4 linked regions of the Caenorhabditis elegans genome follow. The protein of the gene in region 1 purifies or fractionates together with the protein of each later gene. This does not show direct contact. Each region holds a gene or a part of one and is shown in the gene's direction. Other genes may lie near its edges.

Evidence for each region.
Region 2: the proteins of rpl-35A (region 1) and rpl-14 fractionate together in Caenorhabditis elegans (co-fractionation; one large-scale study listed by BioGRID). This does not show direct contact.
Region 3: the proteins of rpl-35A (region 1) and asg-1 fractionate together in Caenorhabditis elegans (co-fractionation; one large-scale study listed by BioGRID). This does not show direct contact.
Region 4: the proteins of rpl-35A (region 1) and rpl-26 fractionate together in Caenorhabditis elegans (co-fractionation; one large-scale study listed by BioGRID). This does not show direct contact.

The regions. Positions count from the first base shown.
Region 1 is NC_003280.10:7,103,970-7,106,816, forward strand, and holds rpl-35A (Large ribosomal subunit protein eL33), read left to right. Parts: upstream 1-1,593; 5' UTR 1,594-1,599; coding exon 1,600-1,649; intron 1,650-1,873; coding exon 1,874-2,036; intron 2,037-2,080; coding exon 2,081-2,218; intron 2,219-2,264; coding exon 2,265-2,288; 3' UTR 2,289-2,347; downstream 2,348-2,847. Other genes in the region: farl-11 (DUF3402 domain-containing protein), read right to left, coding at 1-124, 174-353, 400-549, 594-740, 783-961, 1,002-1,032; F10E7.9 (Amino acid permease/ SLC12A domain-containing protein), read right to left, coding at 2,522-2,632, 2,676-2,847.
Region 2 is NC_003279.8:9,687,443-9,690,581, forward strand, and holds rpl-14 (Large ribosomal subunit protein eL14), read left to right. Parts: upstream 1-1,754; 5' UTR 1,755-1,759; coding exon 1,760-1,864; intron 1,865-2,210; coding exon 2,211-2,405; intron 2,406-2,496; coding exon 2,497-2,604; 3' UTR 2,605-2,639; downstream 2,640-3,139. Other genes in the region: ikb-1 (Death domain-containing protein), read left to right, coding at 9-278, 326-671, 717-1,150; nssp-7 (Activin_recp domain-containing protein), read right to left, coding at 2,688-2,948, 2,996-3,115.
Region 3 is NC_003279.8:8,691,365-8,693,968, forward strand, and holds asg-1 (putative ATP synthase subunit g 1, mitochondrial), read left to right. Parts: upstream 1-1,581; 5' UTR 1,582-1,583; coding exon 1,584-1,808; intron 1,809-1,855; coding exon 1,856-2,026; 3' UTR 2,027-2,104; downstream 2,105-2,604. Other genes in the region: mrps-15 (Small ribosomal subunit protein uS15m), read right to left, coding at 1-146, 199-363, 410-480, 528-747, 793-881, 932-995, 1,047-1,127; K07A12.5 (Pre-mRNA-splicing factor SYF2), read right to left, coding at 2,129-2,291, 2,338-2,604. UniProt on the Caenorhabditis elegans protein: Mitochondrial membrane ATP synthase (F(1)F(0) ATP synthase or Complex V) produces ATP from ADP in the presence of a proton gradient across the membrane which is generated by electron transport complexes of the respiratory chain.
Region 4 is NC_003280.10:8,600,878-8,604,081, forward strand, and holds rpl-26 (Large ribosomal subunit protein uL24), read left to right. Parts: upstream 1-1,909; 5' UTR 1,910-1,915; coding exon 1,916-2,064; intron 2,065-2,093; exon of another isoform or gene 2,094-2,226; intron 2,227-2,237; coding exon 2,238-2,394; coding exon of another isoform or gene 2,395-2,409; exon of another isoform or gene 2,410-2,547; coding exon 2,548-2,670; 3' UTR 2,671-2,704; downstream 2,705-3,204. Other genes in the region: cpf-1 (Cleavage stimulation factor 50 kDa subunit), read right to left, coding at 47-503, 704-826, 878-1,174, 1,254-1,419, 1,484-1,533; suf-1 (Suppressor of forked domain-containing protein), read left to right, coding at 2,984-3,076, 3,128-3,204.

The DNA.
Region 1 (2,847 bases):
AATCCGAGAGATCGGCTAAACTGGCATTCCTGCTACTTCTTGAGCTTGCTTTTGAAATTCTCCCGTCGTTCGGTGGGCTCTCAAATGGTTCTTTAATTTCTGTCATCAACAGAGTACACAACGCCTGAAAATGTACATTTTTAAAACAATGATTGAAAATTATAAAGATATACCTGGTAAACGCCGTTCTTATAACAAATGAAAGAATTCTCGATTGCACGATGGTAGACCATTGAAGGGCCCTCAGGGTCCATTTCTTTGGTTTTTCGAATAGGGACATTCATCAACAATTTTTGATCATACTGATATTCAATTTCCTCATTTTCTAAACATCCAAAGTCTGTTGCTGATCCCTGAAATTTAAATAAATATATATCGAATAACAAATGAGAGACAAACCTGGAGCAGAAAGAGAATTATACGAGCTGATTTCAAACGAACTTCCAAATCTGCACTTTCCATTCGAGAGCAAAGGTCTTGAATAACATAATTTTTTTGGACAGCACTAAATTCTTCGAATGTCGATGGAAACTGTTCGTGCTTGCCGTCCTGTAAAAGAAAAATAACTATTTTCCTGTTGTAAAATCGCTTGCATATGATTCCTCTATATATTCCTTCCAGTTGCTGATGTTAATACCGAACTCTTCTATTTCAGAATAACTGTAAAGTTCTGCCATTTCACGAATTCCTGCATCACCGTCACCATACTCGAAATCTAGATCTTTATCAATGGCGGCAACCTGCAAAACTGTATTGTTTTTCAACTTCTTCATGAAAATTACATTATCAGAGCTTTCATGATGAATGAATCCGCCATACGCTGGAGTTATCATAGGCTGAGCTTCTTTCAGTTGCTTCAATTTCAAAACATTTGCTGATCGTCTTGCGGCCAGTGAGCTTTCGGAGTATTCAACATGTTCATCATCAGCACTTCGCCTTTCTTTGTCACCATAAACTGGAACTATTAGGAGGTTTATTTGATGATATATTCATTTTCTCACCGTCTTCTGCAAAATTAGGCCTGATTCCCATTACATTCGGCTTTCTCGTTCAGTAGAACTAAAAATGAGTATTTTATTCAATTGTCAAGCGCAAGCAAATTCCGTAAGAAACTATTATATAAAAAAACAGGAAAGCAAAAACAAAACAATATTTTTTGCAATTTGCTAAACAACACGCACTACGACACTCCGCTTTAACGTTTAGATGTGCAGGCATTTCTACCGTAGTTATTTTGCGCCTCGACTCGTTTTACGGAATTTTTTCTTTTCTTTTACCAATTTTCATGCTGGCCTACGAATTTTTTGAGCAGAAAATGGATATTTTTGTAATAAAATCAATATTATCATGTTTATCTTATTCCCCGCTGTTCTCTTACTTGGATCATTTACGAAAAACCACTTTTTGATTTTAGGACTTCGTTAAATCTCGATTTTTTGTAAAAAGTTTCAACTTACTTATTCTTCGCAATTATTCTCCAGTCTCATAAAAATTGTTAAAACAGTTATCTGAAAAATGTTCATTTGTTATTTCGTCGCTATTTCGTTTCTCCGTCCACTTTAAACTTCTTCACTAAATTAATTTTCGTTTCAGGTAAAAATGGCTGACACCGCTGTTGCTAGAAGACCATCGGCCCCAACTACTGGACGGTATGTTTTTGCTTTTTTTTTTTAATCAGTGACCGCTGGATATTTTTGAGCTCTGCTGAAAAATATTCAGACTGCAAATTCTTCATATAGTCTTTAAAAAATGTATAGTAGCATTATCCTAACTATTTCTAGTCTTATCTAATCCGCGGCATTTTTTTCCATTTTCTCGGATCAGCAATTCACAAATCAGGACATCAACAAAATAATAATAAATTAATTTTCAGTCTTTACGTCAAAGCCATCTTCACCGGATTCAAGAGAGGACTTCGCACCCAATCCGAGCACACCTCGCTTTTGAAGCTTGAGGGAGTCTTCAACAAGGAAGATGCTGGTTTCTACGCCGGAAAGCGCGTCGTCTACTTGTACAAGGCCCACAACAAGACTTTGGTATCGCACATATATTTTTCAGTTTAATTTTTTTTTCATTTTAGAAAACCGGACACACCGTCGCCACCCGTACCCGTGCTATCTGGGGAAAGATCACTCGCCCACACGGAAACGCCGGAGCCGTTAGAGCCAAGTTCCATCACAACATCCCACCAAGTGCCCTCGGAAAGAGAATCCGCGTGGTAAGATAATTCTAGTTTTATTCAATTGCACATTGATTTCTTTCAGCTTCTCTACCCATCCAACATCTAAGTGGTGATCTTCTGTTATTGTTATTGTTCGCAGTTGTAATAAACAGTTGTGACTTTGAATGTACGTTTTAAATTGTGCAAAATCACATTCTATTGAAAACATTAATTCATATAATTGTAAGTTTATTGTGAAACTTTCTCTTCTGGAAACGTATATTTTCTAAAGTTTTTATTAACAAAATTGGAGCGATTTAAGGTTTTAAGGATGAATTATAGTTTCTATTGTTAATAAGATTAATCTAATTGATGAGAAACATTCTCCGAGTGATGATATTGTCGTCTGTCTTGATAATCTGGATTGGCCTCGTTTTGTTGGGAACTCGATACGCCGCTCGTAAATGTTGTCTGAAAAAAAGAAACTAATCCTGGTTCAAAAATTCGTTCTCACCTCTGGCAAAATTGTTGTGGCACCTGATCGCAAAGAATCTAATGAAGAAAACACTGTTTTGAACATGTGACATAACGAGAAAGTTGAAATTCCCGGACCACAAGTTGGGCAGACTCTTCCAATGTACCAATACAACGCGATGAGAGCGACAAAATGAGCTACAGCAAACCAG
Region 2 (3,139 bases), on another chromosome or scaffold:
CTTCTCAGGCTCTACATTATCTTGGAGATGCATACAATGAATCAATTTTCAAAGAAATATTAGAACCATCTAGAGGTCAACGGTTTGATGTGAATCAGCTGAATTCGGAGGGATTTGCACCGATTCACGTGGCAGTAAGAAGGTTGAAGCTGTCGTTGATTGAGATGCTCATTGAAGCGGGAGCATTGATTGATTTTTTGGATACTGAAAAGAAAAGAAATGCGTTGATGCACGCAATTGAAATGAATGATTTTGAGACTATTCAGCTTTTGGTTGAGGTAACTGTACATAGAAAAACATTGTTTTAAATTTAATATTTTTTCAGAGAGGATCAGGAACAAATATAGAAGATGAATCTGGAGAGACTGCATTGAGCTTGGCTGTAAAAAACGTTAACTATCCAGTGATTGGCCTTCTTTTAGATAATGGAGCTGATCCGAATAGACAAAATTCTAAAGGAATATGCTTGGCAGATAGTGAAGATAGTGTTATTCAAAACATTATAAATGGAGATAGACCCGAACTACCCAAGAAAGAAGCTTTTGGTGTTCCTAATGATTTAGCTATTTCTAGATCTCCCTTATTTGGGAGATCTCATCCAGATCAGGCTCCAGGTGAAGAGAGTGGGCGGCACAGAGTTGTGAAGAGATCTAGAGAAGAAATATTAAATGGTATGTTTTCTGAAAGATTTTTTGAAATTAGATCCGTTTTTGTAGACGCTCAAACTCTTCTCGCTGAAACTGACTCCATGGCTCCACGTGTTTCGAGAATATCCACATCTGAATCTGAAGATGAGCAACAGCCGGGACCCTCAACATCGTCGGGAACACGAAGGCGTCGAAGTGAATGGGATCGGAATCCGAAGCTTAGTGATTCGGTCTGCAATTTAGATTATTTGACCCGAATTCGCGTTGCAAAAATATTTGATGATCAGTGCAAATGGCAAAGATTGGCACAACAACTCAATTGTGATCACATGGTGGAACTTATTTCTATTTGCTCATCGGGAGACGATTCAAGCCCGACTATGATTCTTTTGGACCAATTTGAACAACTTGAAGACTCATCAATTTCCCGATTGCGCGATGCTATGAATCAAATGGCAGAAGATGATGCAGTTAAATTAATTGATTCCCGTTATGTTTACTGAATATCGCAGAATTGTTTTTATTTATTTTGTTTTCAGTAATAAAACTTTACCATGCATCCTGTATTAATTTACAAAATGCAATTTATATCGAAAAACTGGACTAAGTTGCTTTTTCCTAAAATATGAACACGACTTTTTTGAAAATTCACCGGTTTAATGAAATTCATACAGGTTCAGTACAAATACATACATTAATCACTGAAATTACATAAGAGCAAACAATTGAGCAAAGTTCCCCTTCCTACAATGAAAAAGATGAGATAAACTGCGCCGCAGTTGCGTTGGGTGCGCCGCATACTTGCACGTGTCCCGCCCCATGTGGGTCTCGCCACGAAATTGTCACCGTAGCCTATGGCTGTCTTACTCATTTTGCGATTTTTTTCCCAAATTTTCTTCTTTTTCAGCAAATTTTTGATATTTTTCGGTTGTTTCTGTGATAAAAACGATATAAGAAAAATTCAGAACCAGTTTGTCTATCGATTAATACTAAAATCATAAGTTTTTGCTCAAAATATATCGTTTTAGCTGGTGAAGTCAATTTTTTCGGTGTTTCTTCACTTCTCAATGTACGCGTTATAATTTTGATTTATTATTTAATTTTCAGTAAACATGGTCTTCAACCGTGTCGTTCAAATTGGGCGCGTCGTCTTCATCGCCTCCGGCAAAGACCAAGGCAAGCTTGCTGCCATCGTCAACGTTATCGACGGAAACAGAGTAAGTCATTTATTAATTAAGAAAAAAAAATGTATAGCAGATTTATTGAATTTTACTTAAACTTTTTAAAACGTTTAGATTATCAATGCGATCAGAAATGTTTGTAAAATGCAAAAATCGGAAAGCATAGCTCTGAATCATTAAATAGTGAAATCATCACTGAAATATGCTCGTTAAAGTGATTTACTGAACAATTAGTAATTAGATTGTTAATTTATGATTAATCACAACTTCCCTTTTGAAATTGTTTCGAATATAATCGATATAAATTTAGCTGAGCGTTTGTTTTAAGCAAACACGTAGCCCCAAGAAAACATAAATACAGGCTTCTAATTGTTATTTTCAGGTTCAAATCGATGGACCATCCTCCGATGTCACTCGCACCGTCAGAAACTTGAAGGATCTTCAGCTCACCAAGTTCGTCCTCAAGCTCCGTGTTGGACAACGCACCAAGGGAGTTAAGGCAGCTTTCGATGCCGCCAAGGTCACCGAGAACTTCCAGAAGACTCAATGGGCCAAGAAGATCGCTCAAAGAGCTATCGTAAGTCACTATTTCCGATATTTTTAAAGTTAGCTTGGTTTTTGTATTAAAATTAGCATTTTCGGCTCACTTTAACCATTTTTACTTGCAGAGAGCCAAGCTCACCGACTTCGAGAGATACAAGCTCATGAAGGCCAAGCAGATGAGAAACAGAATCGTCCGAGTGGAGCTCGCCAAACTGAAGAAGGCCCAAAAGTAAAACGTTGTTTTGTTTTTAATGAAATGTTGTTTAAAAAATTGTTCGAAATTTATAGCTTGGCGAGTTTATTACTAAAATTGACTTCAACAAAACATAATAAGCAATGTGATGAAAAGTGCGATAGAAGTGAAAAGCGGAGTGGTTGATCCGTGGTTTGAGAAGTTTCCAGAGCTGCAACAGATTTCTTCCTCTTTTCCTTGAGTGTCGGTTCTGGTGAAGCAGTCATTTCCGTGGTCCTTGCATTCACCAGCATGCTCGCATCGGCCCGAAATGAACGGAAGATTAGTTCCTACGCTGCTTCCGGTGACCTTCACACAATATTCTGCTTTCGAATGGCATCTTGGCTGAAGCAATGCAAAATCTTATCAATACAAATAGCAGTTGAACTCACGTTTCGCTCAGCCTTCGGAATCGGTTGTCCTTGTGGGACTCTGTAGTGAGTACACTGAATGATAGCCATAGAAACGGGCACCAGTAATAAAAGAATGACAGGTGGGTGTAGAAACCGCATCTGAAAATAGTTAAAATGTAAGAA
Region 3 (2,604 bases), on another chromosome or scaffold:
TCCAATTCATTATTCAATGCTTTCCTCTTCTCTTGTGTCTCTCTTTTATGCTCTTCAACTTCTTTATCGTACTTTTCGTGCAATTCTTCCAATCGCTTCTCTTTTTCATTTTCAACTCTCAACTTTAATTGTGCTTCGGCCCATGCCTGAAATTTGTTGTTTTTTTAGTGTTTAAAGTTATCAATTTGCAAACTTTACCTTTCTAGTTTTCACATGAGCTGGCTGTTTCGGTACATGATACGAAATTTTCAGAGCGGCAATTGTTTTCTCGAATGCAGTCTCATTACGTTCACGTAAAATACGAAGAGCTTTACGGCGTTCATTGATTACGAGCCAGATTCGATGGGTGAGCCATGTTGGCTTCTGCAATAAATGTTAGAAATATTGCCTTTTTAAAATGTTAAACTACTTTTTTGGTTTCCTGTCCAATGTCATTAACAAGAAGAGACCAATGCCGAATTAAAGCCGTTAGCCAGGCAACTGAAATTAATTTTAGATAATATTTTGTGATTATTTCTCAAACAAACTTTTCATTTCCAAACTATTTTCATCGAGAGAATGCTGCCTTACTGATTTGATAAGACTTTGTTTCCATTCTTGTGACAACTCTTTTCTCGTCGCCATTTCAACACTAAAAATCTTTTTGACAGACTCTGGAGCATTCGAAAGAACATCTAAATCTTCATATTTCGCACGAGTTTTCGATTTTTCAATACGAGGCAATCCGAATTCGGTTTTTTCGAGAATCTGCAAGAATATTGCTTATATCTATAAAACTCTTGATTATCATACCAAATTATCAGCTGCTTTCAAACCCAAATCGCGTTCACTGCCAATTTTTTCGTAGTAAAGCTTCGTAAGTGCATCGATGTAGTTTTGATCTGAAAATCACTTAATAGAGATATATATCTCGGTACTTGAATATACTCACCCAGTGGCAGTTCTCTCGCTTTTTTCTCAAAGTAATCCGGATCTTGCTTGGCTGGGTCGGTGACCTGAAAATGATATATCAAATTGTGGCTAGTTTTGTTTTTTTTTCCACCCACTTTTTGATGAACGTTGTAGAACGCTGTTCTTCCTCGTTCCAGCCGACACGATGTGTGCACAAATCTTCGAAGATTTATCATCTGAAAGTATTATAGAAAATTGAACAAAAATACCGTTCAAAACTGACTTAATATTAATTAATCTAATCATTCATGAAAATTAAAACAAAAAAAATTTCCACGGCGCCTTGGAACTCAATGAGATACGGTTTGTAAAAGTCCGCAAACACCGTGCCGCTCAACTGCGGACAGCCTCGCTGAATTAAAAAAACCAAGGATTTCTTTCTCGATTGCTTAAAGGGTCCCACCACGATTCAAATATACTACTGTCTTGATTAAAACGGGCTGCTTGTATTTTGGGGGATTTTTTTAATGAATGAGCACTCATGGGCAACATTATTCCCTTTCTATTAAGTTTCATTTAAGGAACAAATAAATTTTAATGATCTATTCAATAATTGATTCCCTCGTCTCCCAATTTTATTGCCTTATTAATTTCGAAACACATTCTCTCATTCACACTCGAAATTTTCAGCGATGGCGACCCACAAGCTGAGCTTCTTCGAAAAGTTGGCCAACACCTTTGGAGCTCTTTACCGTCATCAAGCTCAGCAGTTCCCACGCCGTCTCGCTATTCTCAAGGCTGTTGGAAAGCACGAGCTGGCTCCACCCCGGTCTGCTGACATCCCAGCTATCAAGGCGGACTGGGCTAAGCTCCAGAAGTTTATTGAGACCAAGCAATATGTCAACCTTAGTATCAAGGTAATTTGTTACACGCTGAAACAACACTCAATAAAAAATAACTTCAGGAAAGTCTCGTCTACTCGGCAGTTGCCCTCGAGGTAGTCTTTTGGTTCTTTGTCGGAGAAATGATTGGACGTCGCTACATTTTCGGGTACATTGTTCCAGCCAATTATGTCTCGAAGGATACAAAGGCTAAGGTTGCCGAAAAGAAGAGACTCGCTGCCCTCGAAGCTTAATACATCGATAAGCATATTCATTTGTGAAAATATGTGTTTTTTCTTCAACGTTTGTTAGATAAAAGAAATTAAGGCTTTATTTTTCTAGTTCAATACAAAAAATTACAATCCACTAGTTTCTTCTCCAGCCTCTCGAGTGTAATCCTTCCGATCTTCCTCAAAAGTTTCAAGTGCCTTATTTTTCACTGCATACTGTCTTTTCAGAGATCGGCCTTTGAAAACATGAGAAGTGATTGTTGGAGCAAAAATGATTTGATTCGGAGCGCTAAAAATAAAACTCGTTAGAGAAAAATCAGTTTCGAAATTCTTACTCGGTCGCATCATCCTGGCTTATTGAACTTGTAGAGAGGGTTTTATCTACAGATACTTGTTTCTTGTTGAATTCAATAGTACCGTGCAAGGTATTCATGAAAACAGCATTTCTTTCACAACTCTTCTTGTATCTCGCATTAATTGATGCCAAGGACTCGGACATGATGGTGTTTGCTGTGTTGCTAGGTGGTTCTGTTATTCCAGCATGTTTAACTTTCCCCCCAGCAGTCATTGTCTCAATCAACTTTTCAGCAGTAACCGTGTAC
Region 4 (3,204 bases), 1.5 Mb from region 1:
GAAACACTCTTCGACGCGTTATTAACGAAAACAGTTAAGAACTAACCGTAATCTTCATTGTGGTTAAATGAAGCGTTTGTGGCAAAATCCTGTGCTCCAGTAGCTCCTGCTCCCGTATAGACAATCAAACACCGATTAGTACTCAGTTCCCATAGTTTCACAATACTATCCATTCCACTTGTTAATATGTATTTTCCATTCTTTGTAAATTTGGCTGAGCAGATTGATGAACCATCGTGAGCTCTTTTGAATGTCTCTACACATCTGTTTGACACACCATCCCATATCTTTACGTGCCCATCCTTTGAAGCCGTTACATAGAGCCGTGCATTTTCAGAATAATGAACATCTGTTACAGATTCAGTATGTTGATCATCTGGATTCGCTGAAGCATATGCCTGAGCTGTTTCAATGTTGTAGAGACGAACAGTAGGATGATCCGTTGCAACAAGAAGAAATTCACCACCTGGGTGACACGAGAGTGCACGCACTGGGTATACTTCCTGTAATTTATTTTTAATATTTATGCTTCAGTTATTTATATTGTTATGATATCAATAATTTTTAGGAATTTCTCGAAATTCGTATATTCTTTTAAATAATTTCCAAATAAACTTTATCTTTTACTTTGTATGTACTTATTCTCAACATTGTGGCTTTATAAACTTCTAAGAAATGTTTTCTTCCAAATCAGAGAACTTACCGACAACGTTTTCATCGCCTTTTTAACAGCAGTTTTTGAGAAATCAAATAACTTCACAGTCTTATCATTCGATCCGGAGATAAGAATTGAGTCTCTTGGATGGAAGATCACAGTATTAACGTCCTAAAAATGCAACTTAGATATTATGAACGTTTTTTTTTTCGAAAAACTAACATCAACATGATCATACAGAGTTCTTATCACCGGATGGTGCGCATCTGGACCATTTTCGTTCATTTCTCTGTGCTCTTTCTCGCGGGCAAGAATTCTCTCAACATCCATAATTTTGATCGAGCAATCTGCTGAACCTGTTGCCACTAAGGAACCATCCGAATTGAACGCTGCTGCTCTACAAGGAGCTTTGTGAACCGTCAAGTAGATGGTCTCATACTCCGATGGCTCGGAAGAAACTGGCTGCACATCAGCGTCGTATTCGAGATCCAAGCCCGAAGAGACGGGTTCGAATTGCATCTTTAAAATACAAAATTATTAGATAGTTTCAGGCATTTTGTGACGTTTTTGTGACCAAATCGTAAAAAATGAAACTTACCGGCGAGGATTTTTCTTCGGCTTTGTAATCTGGATCCTCTACAAATTGCTTTGCAATTGTGACCAGTCTGAACAATTTATCTGAAGGCGGCGGAGCTGGAGCAGAACATCCCAAAGTATTTGCGAGGTTGACGGCAATTTGTTGATGACCATCGTAGAAAAGCTGCCTGAAATAAGTTTTTGAAAGTATGAACTTTTTTAGTTTTGCTTGTTTAGCGCGAGATAACTTACCCAATAATCAGCCGATACATGTATTCACGATCTTTGATATCTGGCTTCATTATTAAAGTATGTTTCCTTGAATAAATATTCGAAAATCCTCAAAGCGCAATAAATTCCTTGCAAAATTTAAACTTATATTAAAGGCGCATGCCGTTTCCCCTGCGGTGGGTCTCGCAGCGATCTCCCCTCAAATCGTAGTCGGCTGCCTCAAACTAAATTTTCCTCGACGTTTTTCTCACTGGCCTAAATTTTTTTAGGAATTTTGTCGGTATTTTTTATTTTCAAGCATGTAATTGTCTCTAACATTAATGAGTTTTCAACCTGCATGTGTGCTCTCCTTGTAATTCGAGAATATTTTTTATTCTCGAATTTGAATTATACTTTCTACCACCGTAATTTTATTATTGTTACATAATATAATATTTATTTTTTCAGGTAATAATGAAGGTCAATCCGTTCGTCTCCAGCGATTCCGGAAAGAGCCGCAAGGCCCACTTCAACGCTCCATCCCACGAGCGCAGACGCATCATGTCTGCCCCACTCACCAAGGAGCTCCGCACCAAGCACGGAATCCGTGCTATTCCAATCAGGTTGGTTTTTTTAAATAGAAAAACTTTACTGTTTCCATTAAGTAGTCCCGTACGTTGAAATTTTCACGTACGGTTTGGACAATATGGAGAAATGAATGTTACTCTTTTTGCAATGACGCTGAAACATATTTTCGCTTTGTTAGCCATAAGTTTAAAACAATTTTTGATTTCAGAACCGATGATGAGGTCGTCGTTATGCGCGGACGCCATAAGGGAAACACTGGACGTGTCCTCAGATGCTACCGTAAGAAGTTCGTTATCCACATCGACAAGATCACCCGCGAGAAGGCTAACGGATCCACTGTGCACATCGGAATCCACCCTTCGAAGGTGAGGTTTGTATAAACTAGTTCCGGTGCACATCGACTCATCACAACTGTCAGGTTTGTGAGTTCCATGATTCTTAATGTTGCATTCGGACTAGGAAAAGTTTATTATATTTTGAAGTGACCGAGTTCGTTCTTTAACCCAAATTATGTTCAGGTCGCTATCACCAAGCTGAAGCTCGATAAGGATCGTCGTGCCCTCGTTGAGCGCAAGGCTGCCGGACGTTCCCGCGTCACTGGAATCCTCAAGGGAAAGCACACTGACGAGACCGTCAACTAAATTGTTATTAATTACAAATAAATTGTTGATTCTTTTCCATTTGTTTTGGCTTCGATTCATTTTCAAAGAAAATATTTTAATGCTATCTGGAAATTCCAGTAATAAGTAAACAAGAGTAATAGTACAGAAAAAGCTATTTAAAGGGTCTTCTATCCATTTGAGAAAATGTATCTGATGTTTTGGCGAGTTTCCTCATTTTCCACTTTCGGTCTGCATTGCGCGTCAAATTTGATGCACTGTGTTTGCACAATTTCACATTCTATGAAATTATCCTTGATTTGAACAAGATAGTATTGCTATTTATTTTCAGAAGATGTCTGGGTTGAGCATGCGTAACCCAGAGCGTCGGATTGAAACAAATCCATTCGACGTAGACGCGTGGAATTTACTGCTCCGAGAACATCAGGTAGACATTTGACAACAAATTGAATCGACGTCTATTCCGTTCATTTTTCAGTCACGACCGATTGACCAAGAACGAGATTTTTACGAAAGTCTTGTAAAACAATTTCCTAACTCCGGACGGTACTGGAA